Rattus norvegicus: one gene and its partners. The protein of the gene in region 1 binds, or shares a complex with, the protein of each later gene. Links are inferred from orthologs where the notes say so. Each region holds a gene or a part of one and is shown in the gene's direction. Other genes may lie near its edges.

Region 1 (3,500 bases):
TTGTCATTTTGCCTTATAACTTTGCATTAGCAAGAAGGAGATTTAATCAAGAGCCCTTTACTGTGTCTGGGATAGCTTTGCTGCCTGTTCTTTTGTTTGTTTGTGTTGTTTGTTTATTGTATTTATCTTATGTGATTTGCACTTTGCCGGTATCTGGGCAGTTATCTGCTGTGCCTGATGCTGAGGAAGTTAGGATCTCCTGACGGAGTTACAGAGGACTATGAGCCACCATGTAGGTGTTAAGAATGGAACCCAGGTCTTATGCTCTTGACTCCTGAGCCATCTCCCCATCCTGTCACCTAGCTTTAATTCCGTTATTCTCTGCAATCCTACCTTGTCCTTATATCAAAGATTAACTATGGATTTCTTGGTAAATAACAATATCTGTCTTAATTTTTAAGCTACTCTATAGCTATTATGAAAAGCATTAAAATATGTAGTAAAGAAAGAATATTTGATACTCAGCCTGCTTATATTGCAAGGATAAATTGCAGGCAGTTTCTCTTATTGTTTATGAATATTGCTGCATTTGTAAGTCTTAGACTACTGGAGTTCAGAGGGTGTCAGAGTGTGCCTAGATGTGAAATGGTCATGATTGCAACGTAGAAATCACTAATAAAACTTAAGGTTATTAGTGTTGGTATACTGATGACAGATGGTACATTTAAACGTATTCTTTTTTTAGTTATCCAAGCATTAGGGGAACATCTTAAATTAAGACAACAAGTTATTGCTACTGCTACAGTCTATTTCAAGAGATTCTATGCCAGGTATGGTTGTTTTATTTATTATTTTTAATGCCTGGTTGGAATTCTTTTCTAATTTCCATGTACAATATATAAAATAAGTAAATCACTTGTTTACTGTAGAATTATGATTCCCAAAGTCCACCCCCACCCCAGTGTGTTTTCTAAATAGTCATCATTTAACTCTTGTCTAATCATATTTTAGGTATTCTCTGAAAAGTATAGATCCTGTATTAATGGCTCCTACATGTGTGTTTCTGGCATCCAAAGTAGAGGTATAAAACAATTTTCTGTTCTTCATGAAAATATTGATATGTCTGGTTTATCATAGATAGATAGATAGATAGATAGATAGATAAATAGATAGATAAATAGATAGATAGATAGATATTGCTTTTGTATGGTTAATCATAGTTATCCTATGATAGTTTATAGGAACTAATATGCACATCTTGAAAATGTTTTTATTTTTTTAATAAATATTTTATGTATCAGATGATTTAATGAGCCCTTTGCAAGTTCTTTTTTTTTCTTTTTTTTTTCATCTTTATTAACTTGGGTATTTCTTATTTACATCTCTATTCCTTTGCAAGTTCTAATTCAATCCTGTAACTCTGGAGTATATGGCAGTAGTATCCATGTGGGGTCAAAGGACCAAAGACCCTGACCCTGGTTTGACCCTGAGATCAGGGCCAGGGAAAGAACACCTTGACTTGAGCCCAAGCAAGAAACCAAGGCCAAGAAAAAGAATCCTTCCAGTCCCTGAGTTTGCCCCAAGATCAGGCCCATGCTACCCTGGAAAACAATCCTGCCCCCCACCCTCAAATACAGCCTACCTTCTTAGGTTTCTGCTGCTTCTCCTCCTTACCCAAGCAGGGTTGCAAACACCTTCTCTTGTCATTCCCAATAAGTCTTTATGTGAACTTTGTTGTGCAGTGTGACTTTGTGGTATTCCTTGGCTCCTGACTGGGAAGATGCCTTTCCTTCAGAGATGCAACACTGGGGAAAGGAATCCCCTCAGAACTGTAGCATTTACAATTGTCATTTTAGAAATGAGGAAACTAGGGCATAGAGAGAGCAGTGTTCGTATACTGGGTCAGTGGTTCCAATAGTCTAGATCTTCATCCTGTAACTTAATTGCTTGCTGTCTTTAAAAGACTATTTATCTGAGTGTGGTGGTGCATGCCTTTAATCCCAGCACCTGGGAGGCAGAGGCAGGTGGATCTCTATGTATTCAAGGCCAGCTTGAACCACAGTGAATTCTAAGTTCCAAGATAGCCAGAGGTTTGTAGTAAGACCCAGTCTTAAAACAACCAAAAAAAAAAAAAAAAAAAAAAAAAAAAAAGAAAAGAAAAAAGAAAAAGAAAGAAAGAAAACAAAGGAGGTAGCACAGCTTATCTACTATGGCCTGAGAATGTCTCTGCTCCTCACCCACATGCTTTTTGTTTACACCTGACTTCTCTGGTAACAAGCCACTGTGGGAGAGCAAAAAGGTAGAAAAGACTTTATAGACTCCAGCAAGGAAGTGTGGATAGTGAGAGCAGAAAAGGTAAGTAAGAGAAGACAGAGAAGGACTTGGACTGGGAACTGCATTTCTGCTCAACTTACTGTTTGCAATATTATTGAGAAAGTGTAACTACCCCCTAAAGCCCAAATAGTAGCAGATTCTGAGAACTGGCTTTTTTCTTAGCTAATCCACACAATTCCTAGTCTATTGTTTCTGTTCTTAGGTAATGTCTTTAGGATAATTGTATCCATGTGAATTGAATGACTTTAACCAGTAAGTTTGTTTCTTTTGTGTTCATTTTATCTTAGAAACATTCATGACATCTTGATTATCTCTTAAGTATGCAGAATTGAATATATTAGAATACTAAAACCCTTTCTAGGAACCTAAGTTAACTCTGTCCATGAGAGAGATAAAGTTTGAATAAATCTAGTTATAAGTCAGTCTATAAACAAGTCAGTTATAGTGTTTACCTAGTTCCCATGAGGCCTGGTTTCAGTCCTGAGGACCAGATGTGTATCGAATGTCTTTTTGAATAAAGAGGTCTTGTAGATGAGGTGTATTTTTAGTTGTGGTTGTTGAGTTACTTTTTCTTAAAGTTTTTTTTTATACAATGTATTTTGACCATGTTTTCTCCCCTACCCTAGCTTCTCGCAGATCCTTTTCCCTACTCACCCAGCTTAGTGTTCATTTTCTGTGTCTCAAACAAAGCAAAAACTAAAACAAAAAACATAAGACAAATATCGAAACAAAGCCAGTAAGAAACAAAAAAGCCTTCAAAAAAAAAAAAAAATCAAGCAACCAAGGACAAAAGCCATGTAGTTAATTTTGTGTTGTCCAACTATTCCTGGGCCTGGGGACTGCTTTAGAGTGTGTTGATTTGACTAGGGTCACTCCATTGGACCTTTGCCAGTAGGTATCAATTCCAGGTAGCATTTTCATTTACCCTCTCAGTATGTTGCATTACATTTTAACTCTAACCAAATCTTTCTGTTTTGTCTAATTGATTAGAAATTGTGGGCAAAATCATGTTTAACATACTATCTTCAGTTTTGAGTTTTTAGTTTTAATTATTGGGTTTTGAAGGTTAAATATAAATATATGTGCGCACATAAAGTTATAGATTACGTTTTTGTTTTTTTTTTTTTTTTTTTTTGGTTCTTTTTTTCAGAGCTGGGGACCGAACCCAGGGCCTTGCGCTTCCTAGGCAAGCGCTCTACCACTGAGCTAAATCCCCAACCCCAGAT
Region 2 (4,056 bases), on another chromosome or scaffold:
TTTCTCAATTGCCCTGCCCTTATTTTTCTAATAGCTCCTGACCTATTTTTTAAAGTGTAGATGGAATACTGTGTATAACAACTTAACACGAGAAAACTTATTATGAAATATAAATATTATTAAAGGGTAATTAACAATTTGTGAAAGATGATGCCTTGCTCTGTAGGTTTCAAGCAGGTATATGATCAGGCCAGTAGTCAAGAAACATGACAAATCTGGCCCCTCTTCGCAGATTTCAAGTCGTCAACACATTCTAGAGGGACCTAAGACTATAAAACTTACCTGGTGTAGAGACTCAAAGAATCTCTTTGTCCATCGTCTGGGTTTACACAGTACTACAAATCGGAAACCTTTCTGTGCTGGCTTCAGGTTAATAGTACGCTGGGTCAACAGCAGGATGGACTAAGGTGCTGCAATGTCAATACATGTTAACAGTGCCCAGAAACCACAGCCTGCTTCTTACACTGTTTTATGGGCTGTTTCCATGAAACCAAAGATACTTGGCTCTCCTGGAAGCTGGCTGGCAATTCCTCAGTCCTGGCTAAGGACCATGGCACTTCATCGAGTCATTCTGGCACTCTGCCGAGTGGCTTGCTTGTCTCGCCTGGCTGGGCTCTCTACGCGGTGCACAGTAGTCTCCACCCGCAGGGATGACGACGCCCTGACGTGGCGGGAGGACGTTTCCATGCACTGCGAGGAGGTTTCCACGTGCTGGGAGGACACCTCGAGGAATTGAGGGAGTCGCTTCGCGGAGGGGGTGAGGGAGGGTCCCTCTCGGTGGCGCTGGGAGGTCTCCACTTGCCGGGAAGACGTTAGAACCTGCCGGGAGGACGTCTCCACGCGGTGGGATGACGTTTCCTCGCGGTGGGACGACGTCTCCATGCGGACAGTCGATGTCTCCTTGTGGCGGGTGCTTTCCACTCGCGGGACGGAGGACTTGCTCCTAAGGGGCGAGGCCATCCTGCCCGTACACTTTGGTCAGGAGGAACAAAGAAGCCCAAGGATCATGCTCTGCGTCACGCCACCCGGGGGAAGGTGACGTCAGAGAGGTGTATTACATCAGAGTAGGCAGCAGGACTCAGACCTGAAATCAGAGAAGCCCTCCGGCACGCCCCGCTCGATATCTGCGCGCGCAGTCGGCCCGGTCCGCACAGATGGGCGGGGCCACTCTTCCCCAAAGTGAAGTTGTCCCCGCCCTCGTGTCCCACTCTGCCCCGCGACCGGAAGTAGGACCCGTGACTTCCGGATTCTCCTTCACCAATCCGGGCTGCGGTTGGGTCGGGTTGGTAGTGTTTGCGCCTTTCTGCTTGCTATGGCCGCGGCCGTCGCTATGGAGACAGGTGCGTTGTGTTTTGCACGGGAATGGTCCTTCGCCCCAAAATCCTCTCCCGTTTCCCTTCCCCTGCGCCGTCTTCCGGGCTCAACTCCTCATCCTTAGAGTTGGGACCGGCGGAGGAGAAGGCGGTGTTGCCCCCCAGAATATGGCCTGTAGGACCAACTTTGCTCCTGTGTTGCTCTAACCCCTACTCCAACCCTGACTCGCGGGGCGGGCCGGGGCGCATAGAAAGGACTGAGACCTTCCACTGTCTGCTCTTTGGAACTTCTCCAAACTTGCCTGAAATGTCGGTAACCTGTGTATTCTAATGCATATCACCGTCTTCTCTCCATTGTTTAATCATTCCTGCTTCGTTTTTGTGTAGCACTTTGTTTTTGCTTAACGTAATTAGTTGTGGTTATAACAACATAGGGAACCGTACAGCTATTGCAGACTATCCGATAATCTCCGCTCACGTCCTTCCACAGTGGCGTACAGGTTCTACATATTTTTTCCTCAACGAACTTTAAAGGATTTTTTTATTACTATTTTTGTTTTGGAAACAGGGCTCACTAAGTAGTGAATTAAACTAAATTTCTAAGGAAGTTTCTTCCACACTTTGATATTTGAGTTCATTCATGAGTGTGCATGTGTGTGTGTGTTTATGGGGGTGAGCGGCGGTGCATGCCAAGGTTAGAGGACAACTTGCAGAAATCGGTTGTCTTCCTACAACCCTGTAGGTTCCAGGAATCGAACTCAGGTCATCAGACTTTGCAGCAAGCACCTTTACTTGCTGAGCTGTTTGACCTGCGTTTTATTTTTGTTTCTACAAATCAATGTTTGTATTGTGACTTTTATTTTGGGTGATCGTTCCTTCCTTCTTTCTCTTTTTTTTTTTACTGTCTTTTCTCCTAGATGATGCTGGAAATCGACTTCGGTTTCAGTTGGAGTTGGAATTTGTGCAATGTTTAGCCAACCCAAATTACCTTAATTGTAAGTTAAGTACATCATTAACTTAAGTAGCTCACTAGATCTTAATGGTTTCTGAGAAGAGATGCAATTTGTAATAGTATTTATTTACTTCGATGTGTTTGGGGTTTTACTTGTGCTGGTCTGTAAGTATCAACTGAGCAAACAAGGGCTTGTGTTTTTTAATCCCTTGTGTTTTGTCGGTAGGGATGTTAAGAAGAGCTACTTTACTTAAGAGATTACAGATCAGCAGCCCAGCAGTGGTTGACATACAGAGTGTTTCTTTGTGTCTTTCAGTTCTCGCCCAAAGAGGTTACTTCAAAGACAAAGCTTTTGTTAATTATCTTAAGTACTTGCTTTACTGGAAAGAACCAGAATATGCCAAATATCTAAAGTAAGTTTAATTTTTAAAATCCCAAAGCTGTGTGTACTTTATTATAAATACTAAGTGCTATTATTTAGCAGTTTTCTCGGTGTCAGAATGGAAAACAGCATTTGGGATCTTTCTGCTTTTAGTTGATGTAAGACGCTGTTATCTCTAACTTGGGTTGATTATGACAGGAATTTCATTTATTTCTGCTACCATTCTTACCTCACTCCCTTCAAACAAAACCAAAGAACTGTCTACGTGGGAGCCAGCTTACTCTCTTGGCAGTGTAAGTCAGAGCATACTGTTCGTGCAGGCTAAGATCCAGTGAACTGTTGTAGACTACAGTTCTAATGTAATTTGGTCGTGTCTAACCATGTCACTTAGCACTGCCCCTGTCTTTCTGGGGTTTTGAGGCCTAACAACCCATAACCTGTGACGGTAGGAAGAACTGTTTCCTGAGAGTCTTAGAGGTCCTGCCTTTCTTTGTGGTGTCCTTTGTTTCAATCACTGTGCGTATTAACTCACTGTAAAAGAACAGACACAACAATATCACATCAAACTCTGCTTTGACTTAAAAAGAGAAAAGAAAGCCAAGCTGGCTTTAATCCCAACATTTGGGAGGCAGAGGCGGGCGCATGTGTGAGTTCAAGGCCAGAGCTGCTTCCAGGACAGCCACTCTACCCAGGTAAACCCTGTCTAGACACTGCCCCAAAGGAGGGGACAACAACAAAAACCCCAGAAGTAGCTTGGTGTCCCTTTAATCCCAGCTCTCAAGAGGCAGAGTCAGGCAGATCTCCGTGAATTTGAGGCCAGCCTGATTATGTTGCAAGCTTCAGGCCATTCAGGGCCACACAGAGAGACCCTATTTTAAAAATTAGAGGAAAACATTTCAAACCTTTTTTTTTTTTTTAATCGTAGTCATTTTTCTGACTTGATTCCTGGGCTGCCTGTAGATTTGCTCTTCATGATGCAATTCTAGATTCCTCTAGGAATCCAAATGATAGGCTTGAAATTACTATTAGAAAAGTATGGGGTTGGGGATTTAGCTCAGTGGTAGAGCGCTTGCCTAGGAAGCACAAGGCCCTGGGTTCAGTCCCCAGCTCCGAGAAAAAAAAAAAAAAGAAAAAAAAAAAAAGAAAGAAAAGTATAACATGTTACATGTTAGCAAACTTTTAGCCACCTTCAAGCTCAGTCTCTCCAGCCCAGCTGTTGAAAGATGATTGTCTCCGCTCTGTTGGAGGCTCCCTATGATCATAGGTCCCTCTACTATTAGAGGCAGCTTACTCCATTGATAGCCAGAGGTAAGGGAGCTCTTCTTATATACTCTGATCAAATACACCTCCTTGTAGCTCTAAGCCGTTTGTAGGCTTGTTCCTTATTCTGTTCATCTGTGTCCTCTTGG
Region 3 (4,265 bases), on another chromosome or scaffold:
AGAACATTTTAAGACACTGAACAACTGTATAGACAGAGTACCAACTCTCATGATTCTTACTCTCAGAGTTCACTTGCTTCTCAAAATAACCATAGAAAGTAAGGATGGCAGTATAGTAATGTATGCCTTACATGGCTTAGCTGCTCCAGGCACTAGAGCTCAGGTTGTATTAATGTGTCACATAACAAATATAACGTTTGTTTCCCTCATTTTACAGATGAGGAAACTGAGTCACAAAGAGGTAAAAGACTGGCTTCGAATCCTGAACAGCAGGACTTTATTCCTAGCTTATTAACCACAAGGCCAGATCATTTCGTTTTTACCTTTTTATTATAACTTAAAAAGAGAGGGTGAGGTTGATGTCTATCCAGCTCTGATTTCTCTAGTCCTAGAGTTTCTCGATGTACCCAGAGGCCTTATGGAATAAATGAGAGTGCATTGGAATTTCTTTCTTTTTCTTTTCTTTCCTTTCTTTCTTTTGCCAACTTTCTCTTCCAAAGAATTCGAACTGATTTCCAAGTAATTCTGGGTTTTGAAGTGAACCTTCCTGTGCTGCACATTCCCCAGCCAGCAGAAAGCTAGGGCCAAGGCTTGGGTCATCTTAACCGGGGCATCCAGCAGATGGCGCCATCTCAGTAGCCACCAGCTGGCCGCCGGGTCCCCGGGGCTCCGAAAGCTTCCCTGCCCTCCCTCACCGCCTTCTCTCTCCCCCCCTCCCTACGGAGCCCGGCCCACGTGACCTCACGGCGGCCAATGGGCGAGCAGAGAGGGCGAGCTGGTCCCTGTGGCCGCCATTAAAGCGAAGGGAAAACCCGTGAATTCGGATTAAAGGGGGAAAAACACCGCCCGCTGGGCCCACAAAATGGGGGAGACTACGGCGTCCAGGCGGTGAGGCGGCAGGAGAGCAGACGTTAGGCAGGCTTGGCCCAGGGACAACACGAGGACAGAGCCGGAGAATGGACTGAGCCCGCAGACACCGCCACCACCTCCGCCGCTGAGGAGACTCTGGGCTTAAGGACATCGCCGCTGCCGGGCCGGGGGCCCGGGCTGCTCTGCCGGTCCTCGCCCTTCCCGCCCCTCCGCGGGCGTCCCCGGGCCGCGGAGAACCCTCCCGGGCGTCAGGGCTCGGCCTGCTCCCACTCCGGCTCTGACTATTTATCGTGTCCCTGATTGTTATTTTTTTTTGTTTTTCGTTTTTTCTTTTTTAAATCTTTTTTTTTTTTTCTGGTGGAAGGGACAGACATCCCTTCCCCTCCTCTCCAGAGAGGGACGCGCGTCCGCGGGCTCCGCAGTCCCGGCGGCCGGCCGAGCGCGGCGCGGCCCTCCCGCCTGCGGCCTCGGCCCCGGGCGGCTGGGTGCCTCCGGGCGGCGGGGGCCGCGGCGGCGCCGGGGGGCGGCGGGGAGGGCGGGCGGCCCGGCGGCCTCCTCCCCACCGCCCCCCGCCCTCCCCGGTGTCTGTGTTTCTCTCTCTGGTCGGAGGCGGCGGTAATGGCGGATGGTGGGTTGTGGCGCCGGCGGCGGCTGCTGTGAGGGACGATGAGTTCCTCCTTCGTGTCGAACGGGGCCAGCCTGGAAGATTGTCACTGTAACCTCTTCTGCCTGGTGAGTGCGGGGGCCGCGGGCGATGGGGGAGGGGGCCGCGCCGTGCGCCCTTGGGCCGTGGGGGAGGGGGTCCGGGTCGCATCCAGATGCCGGTGTCCCCGGGCTAGGCCCCGCCGCCGGAGTCGGCCTTCTCCGAGGCTCTGCGGCCGCCCCCGGGAGACAGCGTCCGCTCACCCACCGGCCAGGGCTCTGCTAGGAAGAGTCTTGCCTTTTTTTTTTTTTTTTTCTTTAAAGTCTTTCCCCTCCTCCTGTCTTGTTTTGGAGTCTTTTTCTCCATCGTAGTCTTGTCCTTAACTTGGGTTCTTATCTGGCCGGATAGTAATATTTTCTTATGTGCTTCTTGCTTGCCCCCCCTCCACCCCCCGCCCCTTGTATGGAACAGCGTATCCCTTTTCCACACTTTCCAGGATTGCCCCTGCCTGCTTCACTGCCTTTACGCCCTTCCCTTGTAAGTGGGCTTCTCTTAAACAGGACCCCCCAAAACTTATGTATTAAAACCCTCTTCGTTTTATAAGTTAAACTAACACAGGGGTAGTTTCCTTATGGGTGACTTCAGATCTTTGTGTAAAAACAGTGTTTGCCAGTTCATATGTTTTCTTTTTAAACTTTGAAAACATTTTGCCATTTTGACAATTTCTAGCCATCTTGCTTTTATTAGAACATTATGTTTTTGTGAGAGTGGAGGGGCTAGTGGAGGAGGTACTGTGGTTTCGCACTAAACGTTCTATATTTGTCAGTTTTGCTTACGTTTTAAGAATGTTTTGAGCTGGCTGTTCCTTTTATTGAACTGAAAAGTGTGGGGAAGCTGGAATTAGGGATGTTCTAGTATGTATATGTAGGTCGGCCCAAATCGGATAACACCCAATAGTTAAGACTTTTTGTCAAAAGTACCAACTGTTGCAAATATCTAGTCCTGAATTAAACGATATCCGAGCTTCGTGAATGACTTTAAGTTGGAGTGACTTTTTCATTTTTCTTGTGCTGTGGGAAATATTAAGTCTATCATAGGTAAGTGAATTAAGTGGGTGGAGCATAACTAGTTGGCAAGCGTAAACTGCCAGTCATGTATCAGCAGTTTCATTTTTGGCACCGTATGCTTTCTGTCACCAAGTTAGAGTAAAGAATTATGAATTTCCTTTGTTGAATCTCTTTCACGATATGGTAAATGGGGATCTTTAACGTACTTCTGCCTTACAGATTAGACTGGTTTTCTCGACAGTGTCCATTAATCAGCATCTCATCACATGTAGTAAGATGTACAGCAGGTTTAACGTTTCTGTCTTCCCCAACTGGATCTATTTTTGGCACTTCGGTTTTTTTGAAGATAGATTAGCACAAATCTGACAGCTCCTTGGAAGTAGTTCTTTTCCTGAAGATGTGTGCTCGTGGGGAATTAGCAGGCTTTTTTTTTCTTTTCAGAAAAACATTCAGAGTCTTTTCATTAGAGCCATGACGTCTTACGACGTTGCAATGAGGGCCTTTACTTTTCAGTTCACCAGGGAGCGACTGTGACTGACGGCTAGAGAGGAATGTAGGCTAGAGACGACAGACAGGCTTACCATCATTGTTTCCTTGGTCGGCTTCCGATATGCTGTGTTTATTACAGACTGGCTACTCACGGGCATCTTTGATATTTTATTTAACAGTTTTGTATTCTTTTCCTTCAGTTCTTGTTGGTTGAAACATTAAAATTGGCCATGGTGTTTTGTTTGTTTGTTTGTTTGTTTGTTTTTTTAATTTTGTCAACTTTCAGTTCTTAAGCATGAATTGAAAATAGTGATTTTAATGAATCAAAGACTTTATAGTGAATATATATTTATATATAAATATGTAGTAACATAATATATTATATTTAATAATCGATATTGTTTATTTGAGTGAATATACAATAATATAGATATTATGCTTTCTTTTCCTTCAGGCCGACCTGACAGGAATTAAGTGGAAAAGATATGTATGGCAAGGCCCAACTTCTGCCCCTATTCTGTTTCCGGTGACAGAAGAAGACCCCATTTTGAGCAGTTTTAGTCGATGCCTTAAGGCAGATGTACTCGGTGTTTGGCGGCGAGATCAAAGACCTGGAAGAAGAGAATTGTGGATATTTTGGTGGGGTAAAGATCCCAATTTTGCTGACCTTATTCACCATGACTTATCAGGTGAAAGCAATTTATCCTTTTTCAATGTGCCTTAGCAACGTTGTATACTTTCCCCAATGTGCATATGCTGTGGTGGGCTGTCTTGTCAGTGGGAAGCTATAAGAGCAGTTGCCATGCTCTGTTTAACCATCCTTGTTTTAGTTTCCTCAAGTTAGCCATGTAGATTACAGCCCAGCTCCCTTCTGTAGTTTCTCACAGACAGTTTGTATCTAGGGAAAGCATTTTCATTAACCTGAGAAAAATGGAATCTGGAAGCATGGTGTTTTTCATAGTTATATAATAGTTTTGAAGTCAAGTGTAACTCACCTTTGAGTCTATTTTGCTATGTTCTTTTTGTCTAACCCTGTGGGCGGGTCTAGAAATGTAACTTTGGCATATATTTTCAAAAGTATAGTTTTATTTTAATATTATTTAGGATTATGTGTTAACCCAGGGAGGTATATGCTGTTTTTTGGGGGGTGGATGGGAGTGTCTTTTAGATACTGCTTCATCAAAGAATAAATTACT
Region 4 (4,170 bases), on another chromosome or scaffold:
AAATTGTATGAAAACTGACCAGCAGTCATGAAAGCTACTTCGAGAAAAGTATGGACTTAAAAACCAAAACTAGAACAAAGTTTCTGGAAGAAAACGTATGAATAGCACCATGCATGGCTTTAGGAGAGACAATAACAAAAAATAAATAAAAGTATTCATTAAAATCAATCTACAGGGGCTGGAGAGATGGTTCAGTGGTTAAGAGCACTGACTGCTCTTCCAGAGGTCCTGAGTTCAATTCCCAGCAACCACATGGTGGCTCACAACCATCTGAAATAGGATCTGGTGCCCTCTTCTGGTGTGCCTGGAGACAGCAACAGTATGCTCATATACATTAAATAAATAAATCTTAAAAAAAAATCAATCTACAGCAAAAGAGAGTGTTTTAGAAAACAAGAAAACACTCCATCGCTCAGGAGGTTCAGGCAGATTTTTAGATTGTGATTTCAAGGCTAACCTGGGCTATATAGTGAGCTCCAGGTTAGCCCAGACTATACTAGACCCTGTCTTGAAAGACAAGAGGAGAGGAAGTGAGAAATCTGGGGGGAGACAAAAGGAGAAGGGAGAGGAGAAAAAAGAGGAGGGGTGCGAAGAGAGGTGGGAGAAAGCAAGTATGTCAAGGAAAAATGGTGGCTATATAAGGTGAAAAACTTAAATACAAAATGTATTCGAACCACAAATAAACTTATGAGAAATTGTCTGATAGTAGACAAATTTAAACAGTCTAGTCATAAATATCAAGGATGTGGAAAATTAACGACGATATAGTTTGAAAATGGTTTCTGGATGTAGGGCTGTGTGACTGAGCCAGTGGGCACATATGATGTCAGAAATTTACCAGGATGGTGGGAAATAGTCTGTTTTACAATGACGTGCTTAATACAGCCACTTACTTGCAAATTAATAATAATGCGTTTATTCCGGGTTTTTTTTTTTCAACATCCAATAAAAGATGACGACATACCCATCACTGTGCTAGCTACTGAGGCTACCATAGTGAAGACTTGGATTCTATTGGGCAAGAATAACGTGTTATCAACTGCTTCAACGAGGTCAGCTCTTGACAGTCACCCACTTGGTTCTGGCTGCAGCCCTTGTGCTTCTGGGCTATATATAAGTGAACTACAAGGAGCCGCGTCCGAGAAGCCAGGCTGGACGCAGCTCCGGCTCCAGCCAGGAGGTGGTGGCCTTGCTGTCCAAGGCTGTGTCAGCGATCAAGCAGCGTTGTCAGCTTGCGGGCCACATCAGCACGCAGAACCATCAAGCAGAGATACGGATTTTGGAGGGGCTGGTAACGGGTGAGCACCGGGCAGGCTCATTTGCGGAGCACCAAAGGAAGTAACAGAAAGAGCGGCGGCTTCCTGTTGGTGGCTCCGCCCCCTCGCTCCATTCTTCCCAGGTCTAGGGGTTCACCCGGTGGTTGCCGGGTACCCCGGAAGGCCGGGACTCGATGGTACCAATGGAGACGCAACTGCAGAGCATTTTCGAGGAGGTGGTGGTGAGTGCAACTGTCCGTAACCCAGGGCAATGGCTCCGGGAGGGGCAGGCTGCAGGTCCAACTCTGGGCTTGGGGCAGCTTCTTCCCTGCCCACTGTGTTGACATGGGCGTTTGAACTAGGGTGGCGGTCCCCCGGACTGCTGTCAGATCCGAGAAAGTATAGTTAGTTCTCGTCGCGGTCCCGATAATGTCTTGCACAATATTGCCCGAGAATATTTCTTTAGGGGACATTTCCAACCCACCTCCTTTTAGTATTCAGATCGTTTACTATTTTTTATTTGTTTGTTTGCAGAAAACAGAAATTATAGAAGAGGCTTTCCCAGGGTGAGTATGTGGCAGGCAGATTTTTGTGGGGTTTTTGTTTGTAGATTTATCTTTGTTAGATGTCACTTAAGTTGGTTTGGGGGAGTTAAAAACATTTACCTTACTGGCTGTGTACTCTTTTAAAACTAGTAGCAAATAATGCGATTTTTGTTTTTCAGCATGTTTATGGATACCCCCGAGGATGAAAAAACAAAACTTATTAGCTGTTTGGCAGCCTTCCGGCAGTTTTGGAATGGACTTTCTCAGGTAAGACATTTCCTGTTCATCATCCAATTAATGACTTTTGACGCCCCACCCCCTTTTTTAAAAAAGATTTATTTATTTTTATTTATATGAATACACGGTAGCTGTCTTCAGACACACACCAGAAGATTCCATTACACATAACCACATGTGAGCCAGCATGTGGTTGCTGGGAATTGAACTCAGGACCTCTGGAAGGACAGTCAGTGCTCTTAACCACTGAGCCATCTCTCCAGACCCTATTTCTTATTTCTTATAGTGGTGTAGCATATTGTTATGTGTCCTTACCTCCTTTATTTACTAACTACCTTCTTGCTTTCAAATTTTTCTTTCTTTTTTTTCCAGATAAAGGTTTGCTATGTAGCCCGGGCTAGAGTTGAACTTTTAGCATTTCCCTTCTTTTGCTTCCTGGCATCATAGCATGGACCACCACACTTAGCTAGATGTTTCTCTTCAGTTTTCTACTTTAAGTAGTGTCACAGTAAATCATGCTATTGACCAGGCATCGGATTGATAATCAAAAGCTAGTTGTTTTGTTTTTTTCCTTAGTTACAGAGGGGAGGTGTGTAACACACATGACACAGTCTCTGTAACCTTGATTTGCCTGGGACTTGATATGTAGTCCAGATTGGTTATGGGCTTATGACCCTCCTGTCTCTTCCTCCTCAGTACTGGGATGTAAGCGTTCATAACCACCCCAGCAATTTATGATTTTGTGGAAATTACCTAATTATTTCTTATGAGAGTTATCTAGTTTACATTCTCAACACCAACAACTGATTTAATTCCTTAAAGGCATACACTGGAATAGTAATAATTTCTTATCCTTGTGTATCAAGCACTGAGTTTTATCTTGGTAAAATGTTACTTTGTGTTTCTTTCAATATTTAGCATATTTTATGCATTTTTAATTTTTAAATATTTGTTGGGCTTTTTTTCTTTTTGGTGTGTGTGTGTGTGTGTGTGTGTGTGTGTGTGTGTGTGTGTGTGACAGTACTTGTGTACAGGTCAGAAAACAGCTTATAAGGGAGAATCTTTCTCTACTATATGGGTCCTGGGAATCAAACTCAACACAGCAAGTGCCGTGTGTGCCGAGCTCCTTAACGGCACATGAAATTGCTAATGTAATTCCCTAAGCATTTAGTGACTTACTGTGCGACCTTACAGGATGTTTATGTAGCGATATAGAAAGATACAAATAAATGAGTTTTCAGTCGGCTATGAGTCTGTTAATATAATCTTAACTATTTTGGAGGTCTCATGGTGAAAGTTTAATTTATATAATGGTAAGATTTTACAATTGATATAACAAATACTTATTTATTTGGTTGAGGACAGTCTCTGCTAGCTATAACTCGGGTTGACTTAGGAATCTATACACGGCCCAGGGTGGCCTTACCCACGCCTCCCCCTTCAGGTACTAGGTTTATAGGCCGGCACTCCCGTGCCCATGGCTGAATCTGACTCTTTTTTTTTTTTTTTTTTTGGTTCTTTTTTTCGGAGCTGGGGACCGAACCCAGGGCCTTGCGCTTCCTAAGTAAGCGCTCTACCACTGAACTAAATCCCCAGCCCCGAATCTGACTCTTTTCATCGTGCTCTTTCAGAAATCATTTTCATTTATGGATGTTCACGGAGAACTATTTCCTTTACAGTGTTGATTGACTTTCAGGTATAATATGTGTGAGTTTGAAATCGAAACCTCAGGCCCAAAATAAAAGTGTTTTCTGACTTTTAGGAGTCTCATGAACAGTGTGTCCAGTGGATTGTTAAATTTATTCACGGCCAACATAGCCCGAAAAGGATTTCCTTTCTCTATGACTGCTTAGCCATGGCAGTTGAGACTGGTCTTCTTCCACCCAGGTATGTTTGGGTGGGGATGGGCAGTGGGAAGACCCTTCATTGTCAAGTTGCGGAATAGCTTTGAGGTTGTTGTACAGAAACAAGGGATGGGACGGAGGTGTGGAGCTCATCTGTAAGTTGGCTTATGAGGCAGGCTTTCTGTTTTAAGTTTATTCTGTTTTTATGTATACGCATCTGTGTTAGTGGTTGCAGTATATGTAGCTATGCCTGAGGAGGCCGGGAGAGGGCGTTAGACCCTTTGGAGC

Evidence for each region.
Region 2: Ccnc (region 1) and Med31 share a complex: the UniProt entries of both Homo sapiens proteins name them as parts of the mediator complex. The link is inferred for Rattus norvegicus from reciprocal best matches to the Homo sapiens genes CCNC and MED31.
Region 3: the proteins of Ccnc (region 1) and Med13 are in contact, whole or in part, in a cryo-EM structure (PDB 8TQC), measured with the Homo sapiens proteins. The link is inferred for Rattus norvegicus from reciprocal best matches to the Homo sapiens genes CCNC and MED13. Residues at the interface, in NP_005181.2 of Homo sapiens: Gln7, Gln13, Trp14, Leu16, Gln19, Lys23, Gln26, Lys27, Arg75, Tyr76, Glu144, Leu145, Asp147, Cys148, Ser221; in NP_005112.2 of Homo sapiens: Tyr1342, Ser1630, His1631, Val1732, Lys1733, Thr1734, Thr1736, Phe1738, Gly1739, Pro1740, Gly1741, Ala1743, Arg1897, Met1898, Ile1901, Asp1905.
Region 4: Ccnc (region 1) and Med23 share a complex: the UniProt entries of both Homo sapiens proteins name them as parts of the mediator complex. The link is inferred for Rattus norvegicus from reciprocal best matches to the Homo sapiens genes CCNC and MED23.

What each region holds. Positions count from the first base shown.
Region 1 is NC_086023.1:40,066,683-40,070,182, forward strand, and holds part of Ccnc (cyclin-C), read left to right. Parts: intron 1-685; coding exon 686-770; intron 771-951; coding exon 952-1,021; intron 1,022-2,476; exon of another isoform or gene 2,477-2,526; intron 2,527-3,500. UniProt on the Homo sapiens protein: Component of the Mediator complex, a coactivator involved in regulated gene transcription of nearly all RNA polymerase II-dependent genes.
Region 2 is NC_086028.1:57,336,090-57,340,145, reverse strand, and holds the start of Med31 (mediator of RNA polymerase II transcription subunit 31), read left to right. Parts: upstream 1-1,256; 5' UTR 1,257-1,312; coding exon 1,313-1,340; intron 1,341-2,230; coding exon 2,231-2,308; intron 2,309-2,581; coding exon 2,582-2,678; intron 2,679-4,056. Other genes in the region: C10h17orf100 (uncharacterized protein C17orf100 homolog), read right to left, coding at 559-960. UniProt on the Homo sapiens protein: Component of the Mediator complex, a coactivator involved in the regulated transcription of nearly all RNA polymerase II-dependent genes.
Region 3 is NC_086028.1:71,671,102-71,675,366, reverse strand, and holds the start of Med13 (mediator of RNA polymerase II transcription subunit 13), read left to right. Parts: upstream 1-1,465; 5' UTR 1,466-1,536; coding exon 1,537-1,602; intron 1,603-1,726; exon of another isoform or gene 1,727-2,610; intron 2,611-3,523; coding exon 3,524-3,758; intron 3,759-4,265. UniProt on the Homo sapiens protein: Component of the Mediator complex, a coactivator involved in the regulated transcription of nearly all RNA polymerase II-dependent genes.
Region 4 is NC_086019.1:22,353,955-22,358,124, reverse strand, and holds the start of Med23 (mediator of RNA polymerase II transcription subunit 23), read left to right. Parts: upstream 1-1,370; 5' UTR 1,371-1,450; coding exon 1,451-1,498; intron 1,499-1,790; coding exon 1,791-1,822; intron 1,823-1,980; coding exon 1,981-2,068; intron 2,069-3,800; coding exon 3,801-3,925; intron 3,926-4,170. UniProt on the Homo sapiens protein: Required for transcriptional activation subsequent to the assembly of the pre-initiation complex. Component of the Mediator complex, a coactivator involved in the regulated transcription of nearly all RNA polymerase II-dependent genes.